Linked DNA regions of Oryzias latipes. The main gene of each other region encodes a partner of the protein of the gene in region 3 in a complex. Links are inferred from orthologs where the notes say so. Each region holds a gene or a part of one and is shown on either strand. Other genes may lie near its edges. The genes, in order: mad1l1, mad2l1bp and mad2l1.

What was found.
Region 1: the proteins of mad2l1 (region 3) and mad1l1 are in contact, whole or in part, in a crystal structure (PDB 1GO4), measured with the Homo sapiens proteins. The link is inferred for Oryzias latipes from reciprocal best matches to the Homo sapiens genes MAD2L1 and MAD1L1. Residues at the interface, in NP_002349.1 of Homo sapiens: Tyr38, Leu61, Tyr64, Asn67, Val68, Trp75, Gln82, Lys83, Ser89, Ile91, Glu92, Ser93, Gly94, Arg99, Gln101, Ser150, Phe151, Asp152, Leu153, Leu154, Ile155, Tyr156, Thr157, Asp158, Lys159, Asp160, Leu161, Val163, Lys166, Trp167; in NP_001013858.1 of Homo sapiens: Glu527, Arg528, Ala530, Leu531, Gln532, Gly533, Asp534, Tyr535, Gln537, Ser538, Arg539, Thr540, Lys541, Val542, Leu543, His544, Met545, Ser546, Leu547, Asn548, Pro549, Thr550, Ala553, Arg554, Leu557.
Region 2: the proteins of mad2l1 (region 3) and mad2l1bp are in contact, whole or in part, in a crystal structure (PDB 2QYF), measured with the Homo sapiens proteins. The link is inferred for Oryzias latipes from reciprocal best matches to the Homo sapiens genes MAD2L1 and MAD2L1BP. Residues at the interface, in NP_002349.1 of Homo sapiens: Tyr33, Arg45, Thr52, Leu54, Lys122, Asp126, Glu127, Arg129, Ser130, Arg133, Gln134, Thr136, Ala137, Thr138, Thr140, Phe141, Leu142, Leu144, Glu179, Val181, Arg182, Leu183, Arg184, Tyr199, Asp205; in NP_055443.1 of Homo sapiens: Pro61, His79, Tyr82, Gln83, Gln85, Pro88, Leu89, Pro90, Gln93, His96, Ala185, Leu187, Arg188, Phe191, Arg192, Phe195, Asp198, Ala199, Phe200, Ser201, Glu202, Leu203, Gln204, Ala205.

What each region holds. Positions count from the first base shown.
Region 1 is NC_019859.2:22,953,662-22,963,617, forward strand, and holds the start of mad1l1 (mitotic spindle assembly checkpoint protein MAD1), read left to right. Parts: upstream 1-3,138; 5' UTR 3,139-3,265; intron 3,266-4,034; 5' UTR 4,035-4,070; coding exon 4,071-4,214; intron 4,215-4,307; coding exon 4,308-4,448; intron 4,449-4,521; coding exon 4,522-4,701; intron 4,702-4,784; coding exon 4,785-4,909; intron 4,910-4,985; coding exon 4,986-5,067; intron 5,068-5,269; coding exon 5,270-5,400; intron 5,401-6,404; coding exon 6,405-6,519; intron 6,520-8,528; coding exon 8,529-8,590; intron 8,591-9,956. UniProt on the Homo sapiens protein: Component of the spindle-assembly checkpoint that prevents the onset of anaphase until all chromosomes are properly aligned at the metaphase plate.
Region 2 is NC_019873.2:27,029,296-27,038,990, reverse strand, and holds mad2l1bp (MAD2L1-binding protein), read left to right. Parts: upstream 1-4,663; 5' UTR 4,664-4,711; coding exon 4,712-5,012; intron 5,013-5,231; coding exon 5,232-5,503; intron 5,504-5,570; coding exon 5,571-6,092; 3' UTR 6,093-6,522; downstream 6,523-9,695. Other genes in the region: uncharacterized protein LOC101165914, read right to left, coding at 346-514, 615-757, 829-944, 2,477-2,574, 3,424-3,540, 3,654-3,764, 3,852-3,915, 4,118-4,197; epoxide hydrolase 1, read right to left, coding at 6,537-6,738, 6,826-6,951, 8,004-8,112, 8,199-8,410, 8,549-8,678, 8,753-8,962. UniProt on the Homo sapiens protein: May function to silence the spindle checkpoint and allow mitosis to proceed through anaphase by binding MAD2L1 after it has become dissociated from the MAD2L1-CDC20 complex.
Region 3 is NC_019876.2:30,701,325-30,711,398, forward strand, and holds the start of mad2l1 (mitotic spindle assembly checkpoint protein MAD2A), read right to left. Parts: upstream 3,571-10,074; 5' UTR 3,450-3,570; coding exon 3,386-3,449; intron 2,917-3,385; coding exon 2,770-2,916; intron 1,135-2,769; coding exon 1,014-1,134; intron 161-1,013; coding exon of another isoform or gene 158-160; coding exon 54-157; intron 1-53. UniProt on the Homo sapiens protein: Component of the spindle-assembly checkpoint that prevents the onset of anaphase until all chromosomes are properly aligned at the metaphase plate.

The DNA.
Region 1 (9,956 bases), on a different chromosome or scaffold from region 3:
GACAGCATGGAGAAAGCTTTAATAGCCATGAATGCGAGAGACGGTAAGTACGATCGAAAAAAAAACACAAGACACAGAGGAAGTTAGCTGAATACTATTGGGATGAAAGCATATAGAAGGAATTGTAACATATAGAAAAAGGCAGCTATTATATTACATAATAGGACAAAATGCTCTCTCTTTGACTTTTTCAGACAGATTCCCACCCTTTCAGAGGATCTCTTCAAAACTCAAAAAAGCCTTAATAAAGCCACCTCTTTGTCTCCCCCTAGCGTTTATTTACACGTCCACAAGCTCTTTGTCTTAGGAGAGAGCATGATCGTTGTAGATTTAAGAGAATTTTTTTTTGTCTGATGGAAAAATTGGGATTTTTCTGTCTGTTTACACATTCTGATCCTGACTCAATGTATGACAACTCATTTGGTATAGAGATTAGCAGTGCAGCTTTACAATAAATAACATTTCCCAATTCATTTTCTTTTTTCTTTTTTTATTAAAGGTGGACAAACTTGTTCCTCAAGGTAACTAAACCATCAGTGCAAACTATCTTTTTGAATTTGAACATATCACTAAATTGATAAACTCTATGAGAATATTAAAAAAAAAATCAGTCAACTGGACTTCTTTCATGCTTTATTTTTTAAGACATTTCACTTCTTCACCAAGAGGCTTTCTCAAATCTGGAGAAGTTTAGAGAGCCTCTTGAAAATTGGATGAAATATCTTCAATAAGATAACAAAGTCCAGCTGACTGTCCAGATTTATTTTTCCTACCATTGCTTTGATGGAATCCAACTGGATGAATCTAGAAAGACTTTTTATCATGAGAAACAAATGTTCATAGTTTTACTTTCCCAACTTTCCTTTTGAAAAATACAGGTCCAAATCTACAAAATGTTCAAAACAGTTCCCATGTGCTTCTCGTAAAACCTTGTGCTATCCTAGGCACTTTACCATTGGGAGTGGGGTCATCTAGACCCACTAGACAGTGCTCTGAACCTTTTTTCTTCAATGATTTGTGATCTTCACTGGTGTCCATGGATTGCATGAAATCTTTCCACCTTTATCCACCTTTGTCATGGTAGGAATAACATGTCAATGTAAGGGTGAGGTCATCTAAGATAGCACAAGGGTTAAAAATCATGTGTAGATGTTGGGTCAGAGAAATTACTGTATTGTGCTTTTTCTTTTAACCGATATTTTTAAATTTCAGCTTTTATCTTCGCCCTCCAATTTCTGACTTTTTTTTATAACTTGTGAGCATGATTTCTTTTGAGACTGGACCATCTACTATCTATCTTTACACACCTTGAAGTAACTGCTAAGAGATAAAAGGCTGACATTTCCTTCTCTTTGCAACTGACCAACTTTAAAAGAAAACACTTTGCCTTAGCATGTAAACAAATAATATAAATTAGAATAAGCCACTTAAATAAATACATCAGAGGGACGGCTCATGTTGCCTGTGTTAGCGACAAAGTCAGAGAAGCCAGACTGAGATGGTTTGGACATGTTCAGAGGAGGGATAGTGGATATATTGGTAGAAGGATGTTGGAGATGGAGCTGCCTGGCAGGAGGGCAAGAGGATGGCCAAAGAGGAGATATATGGATGTCTTAACAGAGGACATGAAGTTGGCTAATGTTAGGGTAGAAGATGTTCATGATAGAGTGAGGTGGAAAACGATGATTCGCTGTGGCGACCACTGATGGGAAAAGCCGAAAGAGAAAGAAAGAATAAGCCACTAAAATCTTACCATTAGCCCAAAGAGACATATTATGTTCTTGGAATGAGTGGCCATTCATCTGCAATTTTTGAACTTCATTAAAGTTCAAAAATGTGGAAAGAGTGAAACTCTGCTGCTCTCTGCAGGAAAATCTAGGTACCTAGATATTTAGGAATCATGGTCTAACATGTGATGGTAAACATGTTAGAAAATAACAAATCACTAATACGAAATAAGAATTGGAAGAAACAAAAAAAAAATAGAAAAAAGGCACAAAAGAAACAACTCAAGGAGAAATGTATTAATGCCGGATAAAAAAATCAAACAAGTACGGGAGAGGTTTTAAAAATATGCTCATCAAGAAGTTTTTAGTGCGGCCAAAACTGCAAACCAGAGGTTTTCAAAAGACCTGAGGGCAGAACATGAAAAGTCGCAGACGGCAGCTGGATCCCAAAGCTCAAGAATCTTGAACAGAGACATTCCTGGAGGAAGAGGTTGAACATTTGAAGGAAGCTCACAAAAACCTCAGCTCCAAATCCGATGCCCAGATTTCAGCTATACCCAAAAGTAAGTGGAAATCCTATACCAAGAGCTCGAAAATCAAAGATCTCCTGCACAAGAACTTCAGTTCAAGCAGCAGATCATCAACAGCCTTAAAGAGGAGCAGGACGTTTCCCTCCACGCTGTATCCAAAGAGATCCTCCCCATGCGCGACCATTGCAGAGAGCTGTGTTTTCAGGCAGAGCTGAAAAATCAGAAGTTATTGTAAACAATTAAATTTATTAAAGTTAATTTAAATTAAACAAATTAAAAGTGTTTTAGTTCTAATTAGCAGACAGTAAAACAAAGTATGTGTGCAGCAACTTGTGCGATTGTTATTTTTAATGAGAACACCTTGCACTAAATCAAGGCATTTTCACTCTTAAAAAACTATGTGCAAAAATGCTTCCATATTTATGTCTTATGGTATATTTAATTGAAGAAGTACAGTGTTTTAGGTTCTTCATGTGTCAAAAAACATTATTTCTGCCCCCTCTGCTTCTGAAAAAAGAAATGTGTACCTTATTTGCCATGAAAAAATAACTGGAAACTGCTTCAGAAATGATTGATTACTAAGAGATGTCTCCTATAAACCTCTGCATAGAATTTATGATTGTTTTAATGGCAAGATATATTAAAGCAACTGATCCCTACTGTTTTTTCTGTAAAGAACACCCAAAAAGTATTTTTATTATTATTATTAATAATAATGATTGTTATTATTATTTTTATTAATGTAACGTACTAGGTTATTTATCATACAGTCAATACGTATGATATATGCCATCTCCTGTAACTGCGTTGATTTTGCAATTGAATAATAAAGTTAAATGGGGAAAAAAAGGTTACTTCCTGTTGGTATTATCGCGATACTACAGGCTCTCATTCGAGTACTGGAGGGATTTCTCGTTTACTTGCTGAGCAGCTGCTAGCACATTAGCAACATAACAAGAACTTATCAGTTCCCGACAGACATTTTATCGTAAATAAGCTAGTTCTGGGGTAAGTTGTTTAGTTTTTACCCGAAACTTTACAGAACCTTTTGGTACGATAAGCGAGCTAGGATCTCTTTAACCTTTGGACGTTTCCGTGTAGGTGTTTGTCTCATCATCATCATGCTACTTTAATTATCGTAACTGAAAAAACAGACAAACAAACAAAAAACTTTGAATTTTTTGATCTCGAATGTATTTTTAACATGTTTTTTTTAATATGCATTATGTTATTGTTCTCGTCGTTGAACTTGGTATGTGTTTCAATTTTAATTTATGTAAATTAAACTTTTTGTTTAAGCTTTTTATCAGTAAGTCTGGTGATTAATTGACATGTTGTTACTTTTTTGTGAATTATTTTAAGTCTTCCTGTGACAGCTGACGACTTGATCGCGTTTTTATTTATTTTTTAGTTAGATATTTGGCAAAATGGTTATAGTGTTTTGGCAACTTTTTTAAAAAGTTTTTATTAATAGATCTGCGTAATTGCAGAACAACTCCCTGGCAATACATGTCTTTAACACTCTTGGATCAAAACTGACAAACATAAGATGTATCAACTAGTTATAGCCACTTTTTAACTAACATCATGTACTACCTTAATTTGTAAATGTTTAAAGCAGTCGATTTCTTCTTTTTTATATTTTAGGATTGTTTTTCTTTTGAGTTTTTGTATAGTCTATCCATTAATCCTTTAGTACTTATGAGCAAGAACATGATCTATATGTCACATGGTGCTATAATGTGATATTTTGATGTTCTTGCTTGTGTCCTCCCAGCTCTTGTGTCTTTACTACAACACCAGTAAACCCAAAATGGACTTGGAAGATGACACAACCATTTTGAGCACCTTAAAATCTTTCAACACTTTCATCAGTCGTCCTGAGCGTCCACAGCTGCCGTCTGAGCGCTCAGCAGGCAGTGGAGTTCTTCAGAGTCAGTACAAACGCAGCATGGAGGTACAGATAAATCATTTGCTGTGAAAGCAAAATTCAGGAATTAACGACAACCATTCCATCTGACTATTTGCTTTCCCTCTGGCGCATTACTAGATTTTGGAAGCAGCAGAGAGGGTTCACTCTCAGAATCGCTTTCTGCAGTTGGACCAGGAGAAGAAACAGATGGAACTGAGCCACAAGAGAGCTCGTTTTGAGCTGGAGAAAGCGGCTTCCAACAGTGCACGAGACTTTGAGGTATAGTGCATATTCAGCCTTTTCACAGCCATATACAAATAGCATTTGATTATTTTGTGTTGTTATTTTGCAGCATGAGTTGGACAGAAACCAGGATCTTTTGGCCAGAGTTAAAAAGTTGGAAGGGAGGGAATTTGAAGCGGATAAAAACTTATCAGACCAGGTTGAGGAGAACCAAGTTCTCCGTAGGAATCTAGAGGCCGTGAACAAAAAGCTGGAGGAGCGAGACACCAAGCTGAATACGGCTAACAAGGTTCCCGCACAGACGCACACCTATCTGTCTCTTCAGGAATGTCTGTCATCTTACATTCAGTCCTTCTTGCAATCTGTTTCCAGACCATAACTTCTTTGAAAGATGAGCTCAGAGAGTTGAGGCAGAAAATTCAAAACCAAGACTTGGTGTTCTCAGCCCAAACCTTGGAAAAACAGGAGCTACAGGAACAGCTGGATCTGCAGCGCAGGTAAATCCCAACATTTATGATGGTTTTCTTCTTTTTGTTAGATTAATAAGATGTGTTATTGTGTTTTTTTTTTCAGGAAATATCAGGAAATCTCACAACTATGTCAAACTCTCCAAGCTGCCCAGTCTTTATGCTCAGAGCACATTATAAAAATAAAGGTAGCAATCACTTAAAAAATTTGTCGTAAAGATTAATATTACATTTTTCAAGTCTGGAGATGCAATAAATGCTGTTTGTTATTTTAAATCGTATCATTTGAATGAATCTAAATCAGTTTATGATGAAATGAAAGTACTGCATGCTTTGGTAGAAGGTTAAAGGAGCTTTTCTTTTTGGATTTCCCTCCGTCTGATCTTACAGGAGCTGGAGAGGCGTCTTATTCTGCAGGAACAAGACATGGCAATCGTGAAGACTATCAAGTCGGAGGCGGCGAAAGTTACAGATCTGGAAAAAGAGTTGAAGCGCCTTCGAGAAGAAAATTCTTTTCTGAGGTGGAAAAATTTATACGCTTATGATTTGTAGATGTTTAATTCATCATTTCTTTATTTTATTTTATTGTGCTCTTTTTTCTTTTCTTTTTTTGCAGATATAGCAATGTTTTATGAAAAAAAAATTAACAAAATAGACATGAGCCTGGATTACTAATGAATAATAATGAAGACAACCTCTCAACAAACAATAATTCCCCTGGGTTTTTTGGTTTGGGATTATTTCTCAGCAGGACAAAAAGATTCAGCTTTTATTTTAAGCTTGGATATCGCAGCTAAAATAACCAGTTTCTACAATGAATGCCATTCTCCTGTGGAAGTGTCAACACAATGTTTCAGTGTGAAAATGGCTGCAACAGTCACAGAAGCTAATGACAATGCTGACTGTCAATTGCCATGATAACTGATGTGAGAAAATCTAGTTTTCATTGACTGGATTTTAATAATCAGTTTTAGTTTTTTTTTTGTTTTTGTTAATATTTTCATCTAACTTTATTTTATCAGAAAATTCCACCAAATACCATTATGAAGGGAGAACAACAATCTGCTGATTTACCGCTATCATGTCTTTGTGTTTGCATGTTGCTGGGCAGATTACAGATGCTTTTCCGAATTCACTTATTTGTGGATTCTGTCAACATAGTTTCATTAATAAGTATTTTTAAAATATGTTTTTAATATTGCTAATTCACCCAAAAATATTTAAGTTAGATGTGTAAATAGAATAACATAACAAACTGGATTTTCAGCTGTTTGAATTTCTCTCTTTTAACTTCAAACTTGATTCCTTTCTGAAGATTTTTAATTATGTTAACATTTTGGTTTACTGTGGAAAACACTGCTAAGTTGCTGTGGAAGAAAAGGAGCAAAAATGTTATCCATTTATCAAATCAGTTTGATCTATAAAAAAGTTTTTTCATTCTTGAAATATCCAGTAACAGATTGATGATTGCTGAACCCTAAGCTTAGAGTGACTGTGTGGTTCTGCTGTGTTTCTATTTTGTCAGAGAGAGCAGAGAGAATTACAACCTGTTGAAAGAAGAAGCAGAAGGACTTCGTAAAAAACTGGAAAGGATGGAGAAAACCAAAGAAGAGCTCGTCAATGTGGAACTTGAAAAACAGGTGTGATATAACAACACAAATAGTGCCGATAAGGACACAACTATGCAACACAACATGCACAGTTTAGCTCAAACACAAAGTTTTGCCACCGCAAATCAAAAGTAAGTGATGGAGATAAATCCAGTATATCGGAGAAAGTTTATATTATGCTTTTGTAGTTTGGGCTTTTGATTGTTTTCATTTCCCTTAATGTTAATTGTACCTTTTGTTTTTAGCAGGTTTTCTAATAGCGAACATTTTTTATCATATTTTTATTTTTGTCTGCACAAGAAAAGGATAGAGCCGCATTCCAAACACAAACTCAGAACCCAAATGAAACGAGGAGCAACATTTTTTTGTGTGCATCAGTGGATGCAGACGACCTGCAGACACTTTCAAACCCTTTGAGTTTGTCACAAAAGCAGGAAGCCTCCATAAACCACATGAAGCTGTTGGTACTTCGGTGATCCTTCTTCTGGGTTTTGGTTCTTTAGAGCTCTACAGTTTAACTAAAAAGAAGAAAATTAAGTTATAATGAAAAGGTAAATAATAGGAACAACATCTGCTACATCACACAAATATGTGACACATGTCACACATTGCCGGCTCCGCCCCTGTTACGAAAGGCTTCCTGCACATTGAAGGCTACGCGCCGTCACATGATGCTACCTCCACCTCTGTCACAAAATGCTCGCTCTGCCGCTGTCATAGGTCGATAGCTCTGCCTCCCTCACAAAAGGCTGGCTCCGCCTCCCACACAAATAGTTGGCTCCACCTTCGTCAAAACGTGCAGGCTCCGCCCCATCGCAAATAGAAAAACTCTGCCTTTGTCACTATTAGTTGGCTCCGCCCACACCACAAAAATGCTGGCTACGTTACGCTTTGCTTGCTATGCCCCTGTCACAAAAGGTTTGCTCCGCCTTCACACATTAAATGCTCCGCCCCATCACAAAATTCTGGCTCCGCCTCAGTCACAAACAGATGGCTCCGCCCTATCAGACAAAGCAGGCATGGGGGACACTGTGGTCACACAGAGGCAGGTGTGTGATTACATCTAGAAAAGGTTGAGGGGTTAAATTTAGCCTTAACCAGGGCACTAAAACGGTTACTGGTAAGCTTAGCAGCAGCCAGAACCAGATATGGAGTTCATTTGGACTTAGAAAGGCAGAAGCCCAACCTCCTAAGAGGAAGGGAATGGAGGAGCCAAAGCTAAAATGAGGATGCCTGCAAGAGGTGTCTGAGGGTCTGGTCAGGGATGCAGACAGGCAGGTGGAGGAGGCTGAGGAAAAGGCAGGAAGCAAGGAGACTAACCTAATATCAAGGGTCCAACCCTCTGAGGAAGGTCAAAAGGAGAAGTTGGCAGAATCGGCTTAGTTGATGAAGATATTCCAACCAAGACTGCAGGGCTAAGAAGTTGACTTTGTGAATGGTGTTTATTTGTTACTTTTTAACTTATTGTTTATTTAATTCTTGGAGTGGTACAAAAATCATTTCACTGCTGCAAATGTGGATTGATTCTTATTTCACATTCAGAAGTACTGTAGTTTGGTTTGGTTAAGAAATTATTGCTCTAAAATTTCATTCTTCTTGCTGGGAAATAGGCTGAGAAATTGGTCTTAGATTTTAACTTGAGGAAACATGTAAGAACCCTGATCATAGACTTATTTTTCATAAACATGAAATGTTTTTTTGGATTTTAGCATCTGTGGTATTTTTACTGTAACAATCTTTTGTTACATGGCTCTTCAATGTATTTTGGTCTACGAAAAGCCTGGGCTAAAAAAATAATTACAAGTATTTAGTACTCCTTTAATGATAAGATTAAAACAAGGAAATCCTTTTTTGGATGACAATAACAAAACAAGAAAGAGACAATAAAGGTTATGAGCTGTAAAAAAATGTTGTAAAGATCTTTTTTGTTGTTGTTGCTGTGTTTTAATAATTCTTTTTTTATTTATTAGGCCTAATTCTCATTAAATCCTAAATTCAACAGTAACTAGGCTTAATTATTATTCTGTTTTCCCTTTCAGAGGTTGGTTGAAAAGCTCCAAGCTTGGGAGAACCTTGGGCAATCAACTGGACTCAACATAAGGTCAGTCACTGCCTGAAACCAAACCTTTTTTTTTATGTCAAATGAAATGCACAGTATGACCACCAGATGGCACTGCGATCTTTCTGATTCATGGGGGTAAAAATAGATAAAGAGCACTTTCTCTCTTTAGTCAGTTTGTAATGTCACCCAGGTACCAAAATTCAACATTTCAACAGGCACAGAGCTCACACATGCTGGATATGAGGAGGATTGGAGCTTTGGATTGGAACAGGACAGCCACTGAATTTAACACGCAGTAGAGGATTGAGTCTTGTTTCAATGGTGACACTTTAGAACAGGGGTGGGCAATTATTTTGACTCGTGGGCCACATAGGGTTCTAAAATTGGGTAGAATGGCCAGACCAGGAGCAGATGCGTGGAGTGAGAAAGAAATAACATGGAATCTGGATGAAAACATCTGGATTCAAATTATATTTTCAAACTTTTGTTCTCAATTTAGAGCCAATTGCACCAATGGCTTGATGTACCTTGTGTAAAACTTAGAGAAATGTTGTGTTTGAATGGTAGGAAGAATGAAAAACAACAAATCTTCCAACACCACATGGATGCTAGAGCAGAGTCCCCAAACTTTTTCTTGTGAGGGCCACAACAACTCTTTTTCTTTAAGCTTCTTTTATCTTTCTTTTATTGTAAAGCCCTAATATGCTTATAATTAAATAAATAACACTATTTATGAAATAAAACAAATGACCGAAAAACTTTCTGTGACAAAAAGTCAGGAAAAAATATGCTGATACATTAAAACGAAAAAAACAATAGTGGATCCTCTCCCGTCATTTTCTGCAGCTGTTGAGGGCTGCAGCTCCTCACACGCCTCACACGTTGCTCTAAAGCTGAGCAGCTGTGTCCTGCACGTCTGTTTCTCATCCAGTAATAATGAAAAAAGCAAATGTCTATGTCTTCTGCTGCAGCTACTCATATATCTGCGTTACCTTTTCACCAGTACAGAGTTCCATCATGTATTGCAGGAGTTATGTTCTAAAAATAACCGTGATCGGTGAAATCCACTGAGTCTGATTACAGATGTGTTATGGCAGTAAAACTCCTCACTGCCTAAATACCCTTTTCTCAGACAGGCATGAACATTTTCACCCTTTTTTCTCTTGTTTTAAATTTCAAACTTTCATAGAAATCAAGTCTAGACAAACAAAGATCTGATCGCGATCAAAGATTTCTGTAGATCTGAAGAGCTCTGCATTTCTGTACCGGAGACACGGCACGGAGGAGATTGATTGACAAGGTCTCCAGCCAATCAGGACACAGAACAGGGTGCGCTGTTTAAAAAAAAAAAAGTAGCATAATCACTCTAAAAGAACAAGCTAAACCGGGAACGATGAACTGCAAC
Region 2 (9,695 bases), on a different chromosome or scaffold from region 3:
AAACGGAAAAAAGATTGTATGTCAACTGTCCCATGGACCGGTCGATGTAAAGCAAAAAAATAAACAAAAAATTAAATAAATAGGAAAAATTCTTCCTTAAATAGTAGTTTAGTTGTATCTTTAGTTCCTCAACCATTGGGGTGGGGTTGCTCCACCTCAATGGTCCCGCCCACAAATCAAAGCAAATTTCTAATGAAATGCTGCCACTCTGCAGAAACTGTCCTGGAAATGACACCCGTTTTGTTTTGGGGTGGTTTTTGGTGGCTAAAAATGACAAATTAAATCTTTAGTGGATCCCTCGGACAGGGACTTAATCGGGAGGAGGAGGACTGAGACGGTTTTTACCGAGCGCTGAGATCACACTTCCCAAAGTAACCAGGGACTTGTTGATGTTTGCTCCTTCCTTCAGCCTGATGCCTGTGCTGTGCGTCGAATCTGCCCTCTCGCTGCCCGCCAGGTCCACCAGGTGGATCCGACTTATTAACTCGCGTGGAAAGTCAGCATCAAACCACGCCTGCAAGATTTAATGATAAAAAAACATTTTATAAAACTGATTATGCCAAACTTTAAGGATTTCCATTAAGACTGAATATGTTTTCCTCTCTGCGCTTCACCTGAGTGAAGGTGATGGTGAAGATGGCGTGCGAGCGGCTGCTCACATCGTTCATGCCCGTGCTGGCGACGGTGCGGTTGGCGTCGCCCAGAAGGATCAGACCCTCCACGTCACCGTGGCTGTGAACCACGTGTTTGGATAGATCTGCACACAGTTTGCCGTTACACTTCTTTCCAGATCTTAAATACCAAAATAATATAGATTTCCTGCTTTACTTTCAACATAGGGTCCATTTTGGGGATGTTCCCTCACTTTCAAACCCACAGCAGTGGTCGGTGAGGGTTTCTTCTTGAGAAGATCCTGAACTCGCTCGTTGTAGATCTCCAGATAGCTGTGGAAACAAAAAGTCTGACAAAGAGGAGGGAAAAAAAATCCAAACATTTATGATTTTACCCCGTTTTTTAATTTTATATTCAAGTCAAAAACTATTGTTTTGAGAATCTTTCATTAAACAATTTAATTGCATCTATTGTACTAAAAGTGAATAGGAGTTTGTCAGATAAAGATTGTTGTTGTCGAGAGCAACAAGAAAAGAATAAATTCTGAGGTTTATTTTTAAGATTTGCTATTTTTAAAGTTTTTTTATTTTAATTGTTTTTTGTTTTTGTTTAAAACATTAAAAAAGGAGGGGGGCTGATGAATGTATGAGATTAAATGAATTTGTACATAATCTTTAATTACATTTAGGGGCTCCACAATATATGAAAATTCGCAATTTACGATATTTGTGATCAATATTTCGATGACCATATAACTTGCGTTACATGAACAAACAGCAAAACAACTAAAAACATCATTTCCATTTCACTGCAACAGTTTAATGTAAAGGAGAGTCTTAAATTACTTAAATTATACTCCAAATAACCCTTTAGTCTAGATAGGAGGCGACCATCTATCATAAAAGATCTCCATCTGATTAGACAAATGCATAAAGAATATATTTGATGCCATAAGATTGTTTTAGCACATTTAACGTAATCATTTATCGTCATTTTCAGCGACTTTTGCGATATGCATTTTGCACAGTTTGATATCTCGATAACGATAAATAATTTAAGTGAGCTCTGTTAGACCAAAGTGGTTCCATCCTCCGTGATCCATGAAAACCGACTAAGTTTAAAATAAAAAAAAACGTCTCATTAAGTTCCCAATTATGGAAGCGTTTCTGTAGCATAATTAAAAATAGAGGTCACTACCAGAAATGCTTTTTCATTTTCAAAATGAAGCTGCATTTGTTGACTCACATATAAAGTGAAAAGTCAATCTGCCAAACCGCTTTCTTTTTCTTTCAACACCGCTCACTCTGTCACTTAAATAAAATGATGAAGAAAATGGTTTTTGCTATTTTCAAAAGGTTTTCTGGTAAATGTGCAGCAAAATTCATTAGAAATATCTAATTTGACCATTAAAATCGGCAAAAACAGAAATGCTTTTTTATTTTCACAATGTGACTGCATCAAATTACCTCAAATGACTCAAAAATAAAGTTAAAAATCAATCCTCCAAAATGCATTTTAATTTTCTACTTCAACATCGCTCATTTTAAAGTGAAAAATGCAAAGAGGAGATTGAATTTCTCGTTTTCACATCCACAGTGCAAAAAGTGTCGCATAATTAAATTCCAGTCAGCATTTCCAGGAGGGAGGCGGGGCGATGATGTCAGCGCCAATTATTTGAGACTGTAACTAAAAATGCAAAGACTTCAAACGGGAACCAGAAACAAAAAAGGCACCCAAGGTGATAAAATACCGACATTCAATAAAAGTATTAAGCTAAATGCATCTTTTAGGGGTTTGTTGATTTAGTAAACAACTGTACTTCTATATTTGTCTAAAAAAGGTTTTGCTTTTGTTTAAAACTTACCTGACTTCCGTATGAAACGAAACGGCATCAGTTTTGCTTCTTTCGGACATCTCCATAAACAAACCTTCACAGATCCGAGGGATCAAACCTTTATCATCCTAAATTTGACAAAAAAAGTGATTAGATAAATGTTCACAACACTATGGAAAGCAATATCTTTAAAAAAAATGTCTACTAGTGGTTAATATTTTGGGTTTTTTTCAGTGTTGCTATAGAAACACAAGCAAATGCTGCTGATTAACAAATGGGCTGATCTGAAGTGGAGTTACTTAAGCGTGAAAGCAATTTTCCAGTGTGAGCCGGCTGCCTTCTTTAAATCACAAATCAAAAGACAGTCAGCATTTAGAGTCATATAGAATTATCCAGAAGCTTGAACAGCAGCTCCGCTCATGACCTTGTATACGTTTCCAGAAAGACAAGCAGAAACTTCTTCCCACATTTTAAAACTTTCCATCGAAGAATAAGGTGAAGGGCGAAATGCTTCAGTGGGCACGTCAAATTTTCTGATTAGTAAAAAAGAGACAAGCCAGTCTATTGAAGCTGCATCGCCTAAAAAGGTTCTGTGATGTTCTGCAAAGCTGCAGAAATCTGAAACGCTGTGGTGCTCGTAGCGGTTACTGCCCTCACACTCATGGCATTTTCCTGCAGACATCATCAAAAGGCCCTGACTAATAATGGATCAAAAAAACACGTATAAAAAGGGAAACCCTTTAAAAATATAAAGGATGAACAAGAAATTAAGTAGATGTAAGAAGCATGAGGAAGAAGCCCACTAACTGTTAATATTCATTAGTTTTTTTAAGTAAAAACTAAATTATTTAATTTAAAACTTGATGTTCTCAAATTATATACATTCATCTTATTATTGCTTAATACCATATATATTTAAACATGAACACATTGCACAGGGCAGGCCACAAAGTACTGAAAATACTGGAAAAACTCACTTTCAGACCCATCATAGTGTGGGATTTCCCTGAGCCTGTTTGCCCATAAGCAAACATGCAGGCGTTGAACCCTTCAAATGCAGCTTTCAACACACCACAACCCAATTCCTGGAAAATCTGAGCAAAACAAAATGCATCAAGAACAAATATGCTGCAAGCACAAACTTTGGTAAAAAATAAAATTAAAATAAAGATCAGAAGATCTTCCATCATATAGAATAAACATGTACCTTCTGCTGGGATGCAAACGTGGAGCTTTCTGTGTCCATGGAGTCAAAAGCAAAGTCAAATGAGAATGTTTTCTCTCTGTCTTTCACCTTTTCCCCTCGCACAGGTGAAGACTAACATAAAAACAGACAAAAACTCAGATCATTGTTGACCTTGTTCACTTCTACAGACTGTTCTCGCATCATTTTGTGATTCCATACCTTCTGAATGGATATTGTGTTCCCCCTAATGTGAACCGTTTTCTTGGATGATAATTGCTGTTCCCTGTGTAAAAAGCCAAAAACAATCAACTAAACATTTTTAAGAACATCAACAACAACCACAGTTGGGTTAAAAAGCTTTTTTTTGACAAAGTTATCATTAGAAGAGCTCAAAAAATATATATTCAAAAACAAAATGTTAAAAAACAAATAATCATCATGAGCAAGAAGAAGTAGTGCCAATTTTTAAGCAAACTTAAATCTACCTTTTATTCAAAGGGCGGACTCGAACAGCCACGCGCACGGAAGACATGATAAAATAAAACCACTCAAAGGAATGAAACATTCAGGTCGTCACCCTTGTCTTTCTGTTTTCTTCAAGGTAATGAATTAATCTTCTTCCACGTGAACGTCGACTAATTATCACACCTGAGGAAGAAAGGCTACTTTTACTGGATGCACTACACAAATCAGGCACTAGGGGGTGCACTGAGCATTGTTTAGTGTGGCATTTGCAGTGTGATTTCCCGACTTAAAAATCTGTCATTAGCAAAAGAAATGTTATAAAATATGTGGTACTTTAGTTTATAAAATATTGTTCTGAATGGTATGATTTTTCTGTAGTTTTGTTTTGGTGGTCAAAGTATGATGTGTTTACATGTTAGAGTTAATGTCTTACAGTATGCCAGTCAAACATACAATACAAAATCCTATGATGATTATTATTTATATTATTCGTTTGTAAACAAGACAGAAAACATTTTAAACTATTTTTTTCCGAAAAATTTGAACGCACCACTTCAACCATTTCCCATGGTGCAGTTGGGTAGAGCCGAGCAGGCGCCGACTTTCAAAAAAACATGGCGGAACCTTGTTTGGTGCTAAAAACGACTCTAGATCCCGAAGTCTCCGAAAATCAATCCGCCGCAAACAGCGAAGACAGCAGGGTGAAGCGGCGACTGTCTTTTCCCTCCGAAAAAGAAATTAGTTCACGAGAAGAACCGAGTTTAACGTACTTAGACCTGAGTTTACAATGTCTTTCTGACGATTCAAACTCTCCTCAACCGACTGACGAGAAGCTGTCAGCGACGGTCCCAAACGGAACCGATGTCTCTTCTGAACAGCGCGAAGAGGACAAAGAAAACACAGAAATTCATCAAGGTAACAATGTCGAAAGAGTTTAGAAGAATTTTAAAAGGAAACACGTTTATCTCATTCTGACTGTTATGTGGTCTTCCTGCTAAATAATTAGCATAATTTGGCTTTAAAATAAACCTTTATATTTTAGCCATCGATTTCTTTACATAAATCTATATGTCAATTAGTTAATATGTCTACCAGGTTACTGTGATGTTGGCAACAGATATGGACTGTTTACAGAAGAGCAACAGGAAGAGGAGGAGGCCACTTCCTGTCAGGAGTCTGCCAGTGAACGCCACTCAAACACGCAGGACAGGGATGCTGAGGTGGTGAGGAGAGCAAAGGAAGAAGGCTGCGTGAGCGTGATCTTCCCCGGCCCCGTGACCCAAGATGGCAGCTACCGTTTTGTCAGCGAGATCCTCAAATGCGTTCTCTACCAGCGGCAGCAGCTCCCCATGACGTACGAGCAGCTCGTGTTCTCCCAGAAGCGGCAGCAGCAGCGAGACGTGGAGGTGAGAAGCACATTTCCAGCCGTCGGTGGCTCTTATAGAAAATTCAAATTGTGGTGTTTCTTTTCAGGATAAAGATGTGGTGAGACCAAGGAAGGTCCACTCCGCAGACGTGGATTACAAGTGTCAGCAGACCCTTCAGGAGCTGGAGGAGGTGCTCCACCAGCTGGAAGTGCTGTTCTCCCTCAGCAGAGTCCCGCGCGTCTTACTGATGATGGGCGGTTCCCTCGTCCTGCCGAAGGAGCTCTACGAGATCAACATGGAGGACCTGCTGCTGGTCGGCGGGGAGCAGGGTCTGCGAGCGTCCTCCTGCCTGAGGCTCCTCTTCCGCACGCTCTTCGTCGCCGACCTCCTGTCCGACTCCAGACCCGTTCGCTTGATGCCCACCACCGTTTTAGCCCTGGCTCACAGGGATTGCGGCGTGGACTGGTTTCGCCCCAAATTACAATTCAAGATTCCCACCCGGGTCAAAAACCAGATCATCGCTTTGGCCACAGATCCCAACGTCTGTGAGAAGCAGAGGGAAAAGGCCGACTGGCAGGATTATGTTTGGTTCCAGGCACCTGTGACTATTAAGGGCTTCAGCAACTAACACTAAAAGGGATTTGGATCATCAGAATGTGTGTCTGTGTGGAATATAAACGAGTGGATGTTTATTTTAGTAAAATGGTTGTTTTTTTTCGCATTAAGATCATGACATTCATGTGCATGTGTGTTGATTATTATTTTTACCTTTGGCATACAAAAGAATGTTTTGTCTTTGTGTGGGGAACAGAATATGCAGGTATTTCCAGAAAACACCAGACATCGCCGCTTGTGCAATACATTTTAATGAACAAGACTTGAACGGTTTGACAAAAGTCGTTGCTTTTGTTATTCATATCTCGGGACACAGTTAACATCCGTTATTCACTGAAAATGATTTTTAACTAGCATCAAGGAGAGCGAACCAGGTGCAGAGAAGATTAAAGCATATTTGTGTGAAGAATGATGAATTACAATTAAAACCAAAAGCATCATGACTCCTGCTCTGCATTTACAGCTTCTCCACTTTCTTCACAAACTGGATGATGTCTTTAGCGAGCAGCTGGGGCTCTTCGAAGGCGGCAAAGTGACCGCCGCTCGGCATGAGCGTGTAGGACTGGATGTTCCGATATCTGATCTGAGCCCAGGATTTGGGACAGTGCATCAGCTCGTTGGGAAACGCCGCCACACCGGTGGGCACGAAAATCCCGGTTCTACAACACAGAATAACGAGGATCAACAGCTTTGAAAAAGAATGTCAGGATTGGAGAGTAAAAGTTTGTGTGTGTGTGTTTGCATACAGGCCATCGATTCTGCTGTTGGGGTCGCTCTTGAAGTTCTCCTTGTAGAAGCGCATGGAGGAAACGATTGAGCCGGTGGTCCAGTAGATCATGACGTTGGTCAGAAGGTCATCCAAGCTGTACTTCCTGTAAAAAAGGATGTTCACTGAAAAATTAACCCCAGTAAATGAGCCTTTACACGTGAAGCCTGAGCTACTGCAACCCGCCCCCCAATTCTCCCCTTGCCACACTGGTTAGAGAAGCACACGACAAATTCATTAAAAAAAAGAAATTAACTGCAGCTTTTCTATTGGTTTTATCTCCATGGCAACCACTTGAAATTCTGGTTGTCTGTCATTGTTGGAAGAATCTGCAAAAAGCAATCTTTTTTTGATTTCCTTAACAGGTTTTTTGTTAACCCCACCCACTTTCCTAATATGTTCGTGTCGTATGTCCTGTCGCCTAGCAACCGTGAGTCCCGCACAGGAGAGGAGAAGAGAGGAGGCATGGAGTTTAAAAAAATTCCCTGCTTATTTGATCCAACTTTTAATCTTGGAGGTGTAATTATTAAAAAGGTGTAATTATCTCCAACTCTGGGTCCCGCTTCACGGTCCGCCATTGTTGTCAGGACAGGTCCAAGTTGGGCCGCAATGCATCTTGGGATATATGCAGTGTAGAAGGACACACCAGACCAATCCTTAAAATCGTGAAAGAGAAGGACGTACTCGGCTGCATTTGAAGGAGTCGCTGAATTCGGACAGCGCTTGTCGCTGTGACGTAAGCCGCCCACAAAGAACGCAGCCCTCCAATGTGGACACAGCCATTGCTCTGTTCAGCTTGAGGATTCACATTTTAAAACTTCACAACGTTCCAGTAAAAAAATGTGCAAGCAACGGGAACGCCAATTTTGCAAGTTGGCCACACTAACCCCATTCAAAATGTAAAACTTCTAAAAATCCAACATTAATTTACAAGTAGCTTCCCAACGATGCTTGATGAGGTGATGGATAGAAATCCCTCAGGAGTTTAGATTTCTTGTTGACTTTTTTTTTTGGGGGGGGGGGGGGGGGGGGGTCAGGTGATTTCAAGATGGTGGCCCCTTCCTGAGGTCAAAGGTCAATAAAACGTTAAATCAGGTGGCGTATGTGTGAAACATGGGGAGAGGTTGCCATAGAAACGGAAGCATTTTTTTTTTTTACCTCTCCAGTCCCCCGTCGGCCAGATCTCTGTTTTTGTAATCGGTCCAGGTGGAGAACTTCTCCAAAATGTAGGCCGCCAGCCCGACAGGAGAGTCGTTGACCCCACAGCCTGAGGATGAAATCGTTTTGAGAGGGGATCTCGGAGGACAAGCGTGACCAGCACTCTGTCCCCGGTCTCCGGGCGTGGCCTCTCACCTGCGGTGTCGGGTTTGGTGGCCTGAATGTGCATGTAGCCAGATTCCTTCAGGATTTCCCAAACGTTCTTCTTAAAGAACGGGAACAGCCGTCGGACGTCCTCCCGAGTGAGGCCCACCAGGAAGGGCAGATAGGGGCCGATCATCAGAGACAGCATTATCTTGAAGCCCCTCGTGGACATGCACATGTTGAGATGGAGACCCTTCACACACCTGCAGAAGATCAAATGCCAGACCCTTTCACTTTCTTTCACAGCACTTTGTTCAGCTACGAGAGTTTTGACCGTCTTTGGGAATCTGTTCTCACAGAGCAGACATTGTGGTTCCCACAGGCTGCTGTTCAGGACTCACTCAGGCTTCATCTGTGCCATGTTGGTCGTGATGAGGGAGCCCCAGTCCCCTCCTTGCACATAGAACTGCGAGAACCCCAAACGCTCCATCAGCTTCAGGAAAATCCTGGCAACGGCCAGGCTGTCCAACCCTGCCGAGGAGAAAGACTTTGTCCATGACTTCAGCGTGAGCGGGAAAGCCTGGGATCGATGAGGCGCCACCCACCTTGTTTGTGAGAGGCTTCGGAAAAGCCGTAGCCCGGGATGGACGGGATGATGACCTCGAATGCAACGCCGTCCTGGTTCTTAGTGAGAAGTGGGAGAATCCCGTAGAACTCGTAGAAGGAGCCTGGCCAGCCGTGAACGAGCATCAGAGGAAGAACCCTCTGGCCGCTGGCGTGTGACGGGCGCACGCGAAGGAAGTGCACGTCCAGTCCTGCAGAGGATTCAAAAGGGTCGAAATGTTCGAAACTTTTGTGCCTGAAGAAAAATCTCCAAGAAGCCCCCAACAAAATTAATTATGGACCACATCCCTTAGAGCCCCCAACTTTAGCACTACACTCTACAACTGAGAACTTTTCAAACATATGGAATCTTTCTGACTGCCAGTTTTGATGTGATCAGGACTTAAATAATGTAAAACCTTCTAGAGAAGTGTTTCTTTCTGTTTTATGATTTGGTTTTTCAAGTTTGTCTGTTTAACTGATGTTAAATTTACTTATCTTTTGTTCTTTTCATTATATTATCGTATTTTCTGCATTGTGGACTTGTCTTGTTTTGTATAAAAGTTTATTTTTTATATGGGGTTATTTGAAAGGTTGCATAAAAATGCATTTTAATAAACTGGAGGGAAAAACAGCTGCCTTTAAGATCTCTCTTGGAAATAAACCCCAAAAAAATAATAATAATTGCAAACTTTAAGAAAACGTTGGGGAAGAATTCGTTATATTGTCCAGCATGAAGTGTTTATTTGTGTTTGAGGAAATGCAGGAAATGAGCTACAGGAGGAGTTGTTCCAGATAGGATCTGCCTGTTTTAAGGTTTGCCTTGATGGAAACTGCAGAGGGAGGCAGGGGCCGTCAATAAAGTGCACAAAAACATCCCAAACAAACAACAGCAGTTTCTCAGTGACTCAACTATAAATAATCTCCAAAACATGGCAAGAACGT
Region 3 (10,074 bases):
CCGGCCGAGCAGGGAGGAGCTGCAGGAGTCACAGATGGATTATGGGAACTCACACTGCGTCTCCAGCAGAGGCAGGAAGGTGACGGTGGCCGTGATCTGTCTGATGACGGAGCGGATCTCATCCTGAATGGTCTTGATGGACTTCTCTCTGGGAGCACTGCTTTGAAAGGATCAGAGTCAGAGGTCAGCACACAGAAACAAAGGCTGGACTGCCCCCCTACCCCTCTGGCTCCAGCTGAAGGGGCATTTTGGAGCTGTAGTGGTGTCCCACAGTGATTCAAAGGAGGAGCCGTGGTGGATTGCTGGTAGGACGATCCGCGTCACGCTGTGGCGTTGAGGAGAAACGCATTTCCTCACGTGGGTGTGCGCTGAAGCACAGACGTTTACATTTAAATGTAAGTCATGACTTTGTTTATGCGTGACTTTTTAAATAAAACCCATGATGTGTATTTTCTGAGCGCTAACGCAGCAGACCGACTACTATTCATGACGTTGTGGAGCGGTTGTAACGTCCGGATTTGAAGACACTTTTCTCCATAAACTCAGTCATTGTAGCTATTTGGACGGCAGAGCAGCAGCCTGAAATAAAAACCACAGAAACGTTTGCTCCCTCAGAATGAGAACCTGATTTGGAGTACATGCCGAGTCCCAACCCCACAGAAAACCTTTTTTAAGGTTTAAACCGAATCCCAATTCCTCCCAGCTCCTGCCCATCCCCCCTCCAGCAGTTATGGAAACATTTGAACATTACCAGTCCTGGATGGCGTCATCAATAGCTGCATATCTTCTACGTTAGCATTTAGCTGCCAGCGCTAGAGAAACACACAACATGGGTTTTCTAGCCTTGACCTACATTTAAATGTAAACTCTGCTTCAGAACACGCCTATGTGAAGAAATGCGCTTCTCGTCCACGCCACAGCGCGCCGCGGATCACGCTAGCGGTGGTGGGATAGCCAGCCCCTGGAGAAGCTCCTTTCCTCTTGAGACATTTGGAACTGGAGAGCGGGCTCACCTGCTCTCTTTGGCCGACTTGTCACACTCGATGTCAAACTGCCATCGCTCCAGCACCTCGTTGGTCTCCAGGCAGGTGATGACCAGCACCAGCTTCTGCACGCTGCACTCAAACAGCCATTCTGAAACCCAAACCCGCGTTACACGCCTGCTTTAAGGCCTAACACGCAGACCAGGTAAGTCCAGGCTCAGAGATTTGCAGATCACCGTCCCGTTTTACCTGGACCAGGTGTGTCCATCTGGAAAACAAGCCTGTTCTAACATGACACAAGAAAAACCTATTCCTGCTGTTTCAACACCACCAACACACGAACCGAGCTACACAAACGTCTTCAGGATGCTAATTTTCTGCTGATTCTTGATAGATAGCTTGTGGTGTCCCACAAGGATCAATTCTGGGCCCGCTGCTATTCAGTATTTACATAAATGATATATTCAATGTCTCACAACTATTAAAACTCATTATTTGCTGATGACAGATCTATTCTATTCCATTCTACAAACAATCATAGGGAACTTAATGTGGTGAACATAGAGTTAACCCTTGTGCTGTCTTAGATGACCCCACCCTTACATGGATGTGTTATTCCTACCATGACAAAGGTGGATAAAGGTGGAAAGATGTCATGGAATCCATGGACACCAGTGAAGATCACAAATCATTGAAGAAAAAAGGTTCAGAGCACTGTCTAGTGGGTCTAGATGACCCAACTCCCAACGTTAAAGTGCCTAGGATAGAACAAGGGTCACACAAAATAAAATCATGGCTGACGACAAATCCTCCTTTAACCCAGATAAAACTAGTGTGACATATTTTGCTAACTACTACACCAATACCGATGTCTCAATTAAAATAAATGTCTTAATTTAAAGTGTTACAGAATTCAGATTCTCAGGCGTTTTTATCGATGACAAACTAAGTTAAAGCCTCACATCAGACACACACAAAATAAAGTCTCCAAAAGTATTTCCATCATAAGTAAATCTAAACATATTAAAATACGACAGTAGATATTTATTACACTGCTCCTTAATTTTACCATATTTGACCGACTGTGTAGAAATTTGGGGGACTGATTCTAAGAGTTCACTACATCCTCTGTTTACTTCAAAAATGAGCCGTCAGAACTGAACATAAAGCCGGATATCCTGATCATACAAACAATTTGATCAATCCAGACTTCTAAAACTGTATGATCTTGTTGTGTTTTAACTTCTATTCAGAGCCAGTGGGAAATCGTTACCATTCAATACCAAACAACACAAAAGAGTTCTTAGAAAATGAAGGAGGAACAAAGTGAGGGGATGCAGGAACTTCAAGACCAAACTGACAAGAACCACAAAGACAAGTTTGTGTCTCATTCAATCAAGCAAATGTGACTTACGGTTTTAATCTATGCATTTCATCATTTCTGTAATGACTTTGAGAAATCTGTGTAAATTCTTCAATGTTGCGTCTGACCCTAAATTATGATGAACTCTTTGGGCTTTTAGAGGACTTTTGGGCAGGAAAACATCACTATTTAGGCACATCGACACGTGGAAACAACATGAGGTGTCAATCATCCCAACATCCACCTCCATATCCCATAAATCTGTAAAGAGAAACAATATCCCACGCCTCTTGTCTTCAATAAGCCTTTGCTGGACGCTGACAGACAGGAATTGCATCTTGATCATTGCCTCCATGTTAAGAAATAGAAAAATAAAGTCCTAACAGACACGGCCTGCTTTAGGACAAAGAAAGGACAAACTACCTTTGAGTTGAGACACCACGTTGGTCAGGTAGTTGTTCAGCCTGGGCTCCGTGGAGACCTGGAGGCTCATGTCATAGTGAGTGACCCTGGTGAACGTCTCTGGGGGGTAAATGCCCCGCTGGTACAGGATGCTGTTGATGCCGAAGGCTGTGGGGAGGATCACGGGGCTGTTATTAGCGGGGGGGGGGTTGTGACGTTAATTCAGGTCAAAGACTGAGAACACTCTTTTCGTCCACACTACTCTACGTTAGTTACTCAGCCGATGATAAGTAGTTTGTGTCTGTTCAACCCGAAATCTAGCATTCCTACTTTAACTCTGGTGACGCTCGGCTTCTTTACCAGCACACCTGGCGGTGGGCGGTGTTAGAAAGCCGCCATTAACCTACACATCGACCAGAAGCAGCCATTCGATCTTTAAGAAGTTGGCTTCAGAAGGAAGGCTTTTAAAATGCTGCGACGGTTTAGGGCTCTGCCTTCGGTCTGGAGCCGCCGTAAATACACTCGCTGGCTACACACAACAACCGAGCACGCGGGCCCGACCGCCCGCTAGCACACAACAAATGAGGAAGAGCCGTTGAAAAGCCCGGCTAGTACAGAAACAAATGTTGAAACATACAGAAAAACTCGGCCACCAGCTCCGCGCTTCCTTTAAGGGTGATTCCTTTTAAAGTACTCGTCATTTCATGAAATGACAATCAACCGTTGAAAAGAAACGTCGGGCTTCTTGCTGCACTGAAGGCTGAAACTGGTACCCGCCGTCCGATTTGAAAAATCAGTGACAACCTCTACGCATGCGCAAAAAAGACAGACCTCCCCACGTGGTCAACCCTAGACAGGAGAAAATGACTTTTTTCTTTTTTTGAAACTTTATTTATACAACAGTAAACATCACATCGGCAAGTTTACCGTCAGATGGCAAAAATCAATGTTATCTTAAAAAATAAAGAATAAATTATAGTATGTAAATAAAATTAACAGGGACATCGTTAGCAAAAAGGAAAATTTAAAAACAAAAATAAATAAAAATATATTAAAGTATTTCTCAGTAGAGGGAACTATTCATCAAGCAAAAAAGCTCATATTGTTTCAGTGTTATGCCTTGAATGTAATAATCTTTTGAAGATATTAGTAAAATTGATAATCTCTATCAAAAATCCTGTAAAATTGTTTTTTTGGTTTTTTTTACTCAGCACTTATTTAAATAGAAGTAGTAACAAATCAATACTATTTCCTACCAATTGATCCTGCGAGTTAAAATATGTAAGAATGTGTTTGAAATATATAATAATAGTACTGTTCATGCTTATAAATCTTTTCAATTGGATCCAGAATTTAAGGGAGAATTGACAATGGCAGAAAAGGCGAAGAACTGATTTTGGGAAATCATTACAAAAGCTACAGTTATTTCCTATATTTGAGAATTTGAATATGAACATAGTGTGGGGTAAATGTTATGTAGAATTCATTTGTGTATTTCTTTAATTTTGTTATTTATGCCAAATGTTTCTGGCAGTAACTATGCTTTTGTCCAAATGATAGTTAAAATATTATTCCAATAAATTTCTCCTTTAGGTGTTATGCTTCTTTTTTCATATAAAGTAGTAAATATATGTTTGTTGTAGCATTTTTTATTGAAAATATCAATATCATTAATTGTCAATAGAGGGTCTATTTTTAGATGCCTTGTGATATTTAACCCTTGTGCTATCTTATGTCCCCACCCTTGAGTAACCGGCAGGTCGGCCTGTGACAGGTGCATGCCTGCTTGATTGGGGATGTAGTTCAGCTGTTCTGCTTCTTTATAAGGAACAGGGAGTGAGTTGACAGACAGTGGCTGCCTGCCTGCATGGTGGTATGTATGGCTGAAGCTCCTCTTGTCGGAGAATGTAGATCACCGGTTACTCATTTTTATTCTGCTCTTTTAACTAGATTCTGTTAGCGGCTGGACGTGTTGCAGATGTCATGAGCCACTGCGTGTTCTTTACCCACCCTTATTATACATTTTAATGTGTTTTAGAGTGGTGCTGTATTTATTGTGTTGTTGACTCTGATTCCTTTTTATTGTTGCATAGGTGTGAGTCGGGCGCCAGTGCGTGTGGTGTTGGTGAAGGGGCCCCTTGTGGCAGCGTCTTCCTCACTGTATTTATTTCCTTTTTAGTGTGTAGTGGAAGTTTCTTTGGCACGTTTTTCTTGTGTGTGTGTGTGGATTTGTTTTCAGCACGGAGTGGAGTGAGGTGCGCTATGTAATCCATGGACACCAGTGAAGATCACAAATCATTGAAGAAAAAAGGTTCAGAGCACTGTCTAGTGGGTCTAGATGACCCAACTCCCAACGGTAAAGTGCCTAAGATAGCACAAGGGTTACGGGGAGAGGTCATTAGTTGAAATAATCCTGAGGGAAGAGCTTTCATTACAATTTTCAATTCTTTTTGCTTGTTATTGGAAAATATTTTTTAAGAACCTGTCATAACCCAAAAGGGTCTTTTATTTTTTTAAACCAGTGTGGTGAAAAATTATGTAACACAGTGTACTGGGTGGCTGTGGGGTCGCGTTCTAAGTTCCGGTGTTCATTGAACGCATCAAGCAGAAATGCTGATTGGCTCTCAGTTCTGTCGCTCAACCTGTAGTTGGGGAGTTTGGTCCAATAGGGTTCAGCTATGGCCCGAATAAGGAAATGGGGCTGATGCAGGAGCAAGGGAATAAAGTTTGGGGGAGTGCTCTCAGCGGGAGGATACAAGAGTTTCTGGGCAAGTTGTGCAGCATTGGTTACAGCCTACAGTAACCAGAATAAATAACCTTAACCCTTGTGCTATCCTAGGCACTTTAACGTTGGGAGTTGGGTCATCTAGACCCACTAGACAGTGCTCTGAACCTTTGTTCTTCAATGATTTGTGATCTTCACTGGTGTCCATGGATTACATGAAATCTTTCCACCTTTATCCCCCTTTGTCATGGTAGGGAGAACACCTCAATGGAAGGGGGGGGTCATCTAAAATAGCACAAGGGTTAAGAGATTAAGTCTCCGTGCCTCAGTGTGTGGGAAAGGGACGCTACAATTGCATTACCGGGGCAGCTCTTTCGGCCAAGGCGAGCAATTAAGAGTTCTGGCTGTTGACATCGACAGATTAGTTAACCAGATTTATGCTCACATGCCCCCAGCCATTCAGGAAGAGCTAGCCCGGGACCAGACGACCTTCGCGTTCAAACCCAACCAGCGCACCGTAAGTTACTGCAGGAGGCCCTGGAGCTGGCCACAGAGAGAAAAATGCTGTGGAGGCCCTCCTCCAGGGTGGAGCTTGAGGCCCCTCCAAAGGTTAGAGCTGCAAGTGTATCAGAGCCTGACACCAAGGGGCCTGCACGGGCAGAGGAGCTGACCCAGCTAGTAAAAGCTGTGACCCTGAGAAACGAACAGGCATCCAAGGTCCGCCCCCAAAGAGACTGGAGCTGACCCAGGACCTCCTGGGGTTGTGGGAAACCTGGGCACTTGATTCGTGACTGCCCGGACAACCAAGGAAACAGGAACGGGACCGCATAAGCGGGACAATGTGGCCCCCTGAAAAACCATCCCGATTGGACCCACAGAAATGGAATGCTGGCCATGTGGGGGTCAAAGAAGTCCCATCTGAGAGACTAATGACTTTGGGCCGAACCTGGGTTGGTGACTGCTGGTTCACAACTATGAGTGTTGATGCAGCGTCATGCTTAGCTTTAGTGGACACAGGTTCATCTGCAACACTGCCCTGCAGTGGTGAGGAATAATGCAGCCATCCTTCCTAACGCTGTAACATTACAGACTGTTACTGGAGAACGGACTTTCATGCAGGGGGAGGCTGTTGTGACTCTGGAGGTGGGAAACCAGCAAGTGAATTGGCCTGTGTGGATTGCTGACTTGGAAGAATGCTTACCAGGCCTTGATTTTTTTTTGCGGGCCCAAGGTTGTGTTATTGATACCAAGAGAGGAACCCTTACATTTTCTGATGGACATGTTATCCAGATGACCAAATTTCCTCTAGATCGGGGTCCCATGTAGTTCACACCCTGTCCATGACTGACAAAACCAAGTCTGATTCAAGAAAAAAGAAGAGCTCTGTCTGTTATGTATATCCAGATGAGCCACCCAAACCATCTGTGAATAAAACACCTATAGACACAGAAAAGATGGCAGCGGTAAGCACCTGGTCTGTTTCCACCTGACCCTGTTCTGCCCTTTCTACTGGACACGGATGCCAGCAATGTGGGCTGTGGTGCAGTTCTGTCCCAGGTAAGACCTGTGGGGGACAGAGTGGTTGCATACTACAGCTGGACCTTTAACAAAGTTGAGCAAGGCTAGTGCTCCACCCGAATGGAACTCCTCGCTGTGGTCAGTGCCATTAGACACTTCAGATATTACCTGGGGGGTCTTCATTTCACGGTCAGGACTGATCAGGCTGCCCTACAGTGGCTGATGTCTTTTAAGGAGCCGGAGGGCCAGCTGGCGCGCTGGATTGAGGAGCCACAGGCCAAGTCAGGCCAGTGGCACGGCACCAGAACACTGATGCACTGTCACAGCGGCCATGTGTCACAGAGGACTGCCGCTATTGGCCTTTATTTTTTTATTAAGGTCAAAATGTGAAAAAAATCCAGAAAATCACATCGTCCGATCTTTTTAATAATTTATATATTTAGTTTATTTATTATTAATTATTTGTGTAAATTATGGTGGAAAATAAGTCTTTGGTCACTGACAAACAATCAAGATTTCTGTCTCTCAGACCTGTAACTACTTCTGTAGAGGATCCTCTGTCCTCCACTGGTTAACTGTATTAGTTACACCTGTTTAAACTGGTTATCTATAGAAAGGCACCTGTCCACAACCTCACACAGTCACACTTCAAACTCCACTATGGAGACCAAAGAGCTGTCTAAGGACACCAGAAACCAAACCTGTACCAGGCTGGAAGACTGAATCTGCAACAGGTGAGCAGCTTGGTGTGAAGAAATCAATTATTAAGGAATGGAAGACATACAAGACCACTGTGAGTCTCCCTCCATCTGGGGCTCCCCCCAAGATCTCACCCCGTGGGGTCAGAATGATCACAAGAACGGTGATCAAAAATCCCACAACCCCATGGGGGACCTAGTGAATGACCTGCAGAGAGCTGGGACCAAAGGAACAAAGGCTACCATCAGTAACACACTACACCACCAGGGACTCAAACCCTGCAGGGCCAGACGTGTCCCCCTGCTAAAGCCGGTACATGTGCAGGTCCGTCTACAGTCTGCTAGAGAGCATTTGGAGGATCCAGAAGAAGACTGGGAGAATGTCCTATGGTCAGATGAAACCAAAATAGAACTTTTTGGTAGGAACTCTACTGTTTAGAGGAGAAAGAATGCTGACCTGCATCCAAAGAACACCAGACCTACTGTAAAGCATGGGGGTGGAAGCATCATGCTATGGGGCTGTTTTTCAGCAAAGGGACCAGGACGACTGATCTGTGTAAAGGAAAATATGAATGGGGCCATGTATGGTCAGATTTAGAGTGAAAACCTCCTTCCATCAGCATTGAAGATGAAGCATGGCTGGGTCTTTCAGCATGACAACCATCCCAAACACGTTACCCGGATAACAAAGGAGTGGCTTCTAAAAAATTACATAGAGGTTTTTAAAGCTCTAAAACAGGTTTCAGTTATTTTTCAAAGCATCAGGCTTGAAAATTTACAAAATGTGAAATTATCCCTGTTTATTCATGTCATCACCAAACTACTGAAGCCATCAGGATTGTTAATGAAGGAAAATATCTGGGTGCATTATTGTCTAAAAAACACAATAAGGACGGAAGAAGTCAACATTTCAAACTGGTTGCTTGATGTGAAGCAAAGTATAAGTCGCTGACTGACAAGAGCTTTAACTATTTTTGGGAGAAATTTGTTAACCAAAGAGGGAGTCTCTAAGATAATTTCTCCCTGCTATTCTTTGTACACATCCTCTCCAAACTTAACCCTTGTTCTATCCTAGGAACTTTAACATTGGGAGTTGGGTCATTTAGACCCACTAGACAGTGGGTCATCTAGACCCACTAGACAGTGCTCTGAACCTTTTTTCTTCAATGATTTGTGATCTTCACTGGTGTCCATGGATTACATGAAATCTTTCCACCTTTATCCACCTTTGTCATGGTGGGGAGAACACCTCAATGGAAGGGGGGGGGGGGGCATCTAAGATAGCACAAAGGTTAAAGAAGGTTTACTCAATTACTTTTCAGGTCCAGTGGAAAAACAAACCCCCCATATCAAACGTTCCCAACTATTTAAAAGTTATGACAAAGGTGGCATCAATTTGAAGCTACATTTAGAATGACATGGTTAAAAGCTCTTCTGATTGATAATTACTTCCTATGGTTTCATATTCTAAAATCCATCTATCAGCATTTAGAAGGAATACTTTTTTTACAATATGTGATTTTGACGTTTTGAGGAAGCAGAGAAAGAGAACTTTGGGGTGGGGCTGTCCATCACTCAAGCTGAAGTCACTGAGGCAGTCCATGAGCTCCTCGGTAGCAAAGCTCCGGGACTGGACGAAGTCCGCCCTGAGAACTATGGAGTTCTATCCTGTTCATAATTAAATAAATAAATATTTAATTCAATAAATAAATATGACCTCATGCAAATACACAATCAACCAATAAATCTCTCATAAATATATAAAAAAGATCATGAAATGGTGAAAAAGCTGCACACAGATTTAAAATTAGCCATTATATTATTCAACATATTTCATTTTGCGTTAAAAACCTGTTCATTATTTTAAAACAGCATTTTAAAATATTCATTTTTAATCATGTGGAATATTATTATAATTCTACGTCTTTTTTCAGAACCTTGGATTTCAAAATCAATATTTTCCAAAGTAGCTTTGTTTTTATTTCATGTTGCTGTTTTTCACAATGACTGATTTATTTCATGAAGAGCTTTTTCAGGAGAATGTTTCTGTCTGTCAATCAAACCAGATAAGGCGGAGACACTTTTGTGATTGGCTACTCCTTTCCTCAGACATAAGCAGCAGCACAAGTGTGCAGTTTTTGTATGAGGGTCTGTGGGATGATGGTGTTGAAAGCTGATGCACAAATTCCTATTCTCTAGGTGGGTGAGGGTTGTGTGGACCACAGAGGAGATGGCGTCCTCTGTGGATGAGTTTGACCTGTATGTATATCAGTGCAGGTCCTTGGTGACATCAATGGAATCTGTGATGAGGGTCATGGCCAGTTTTTCAAAACATTATATGAGTAGGGGTGTTCCAAAATATCAACGTGGTGATATATCACGATA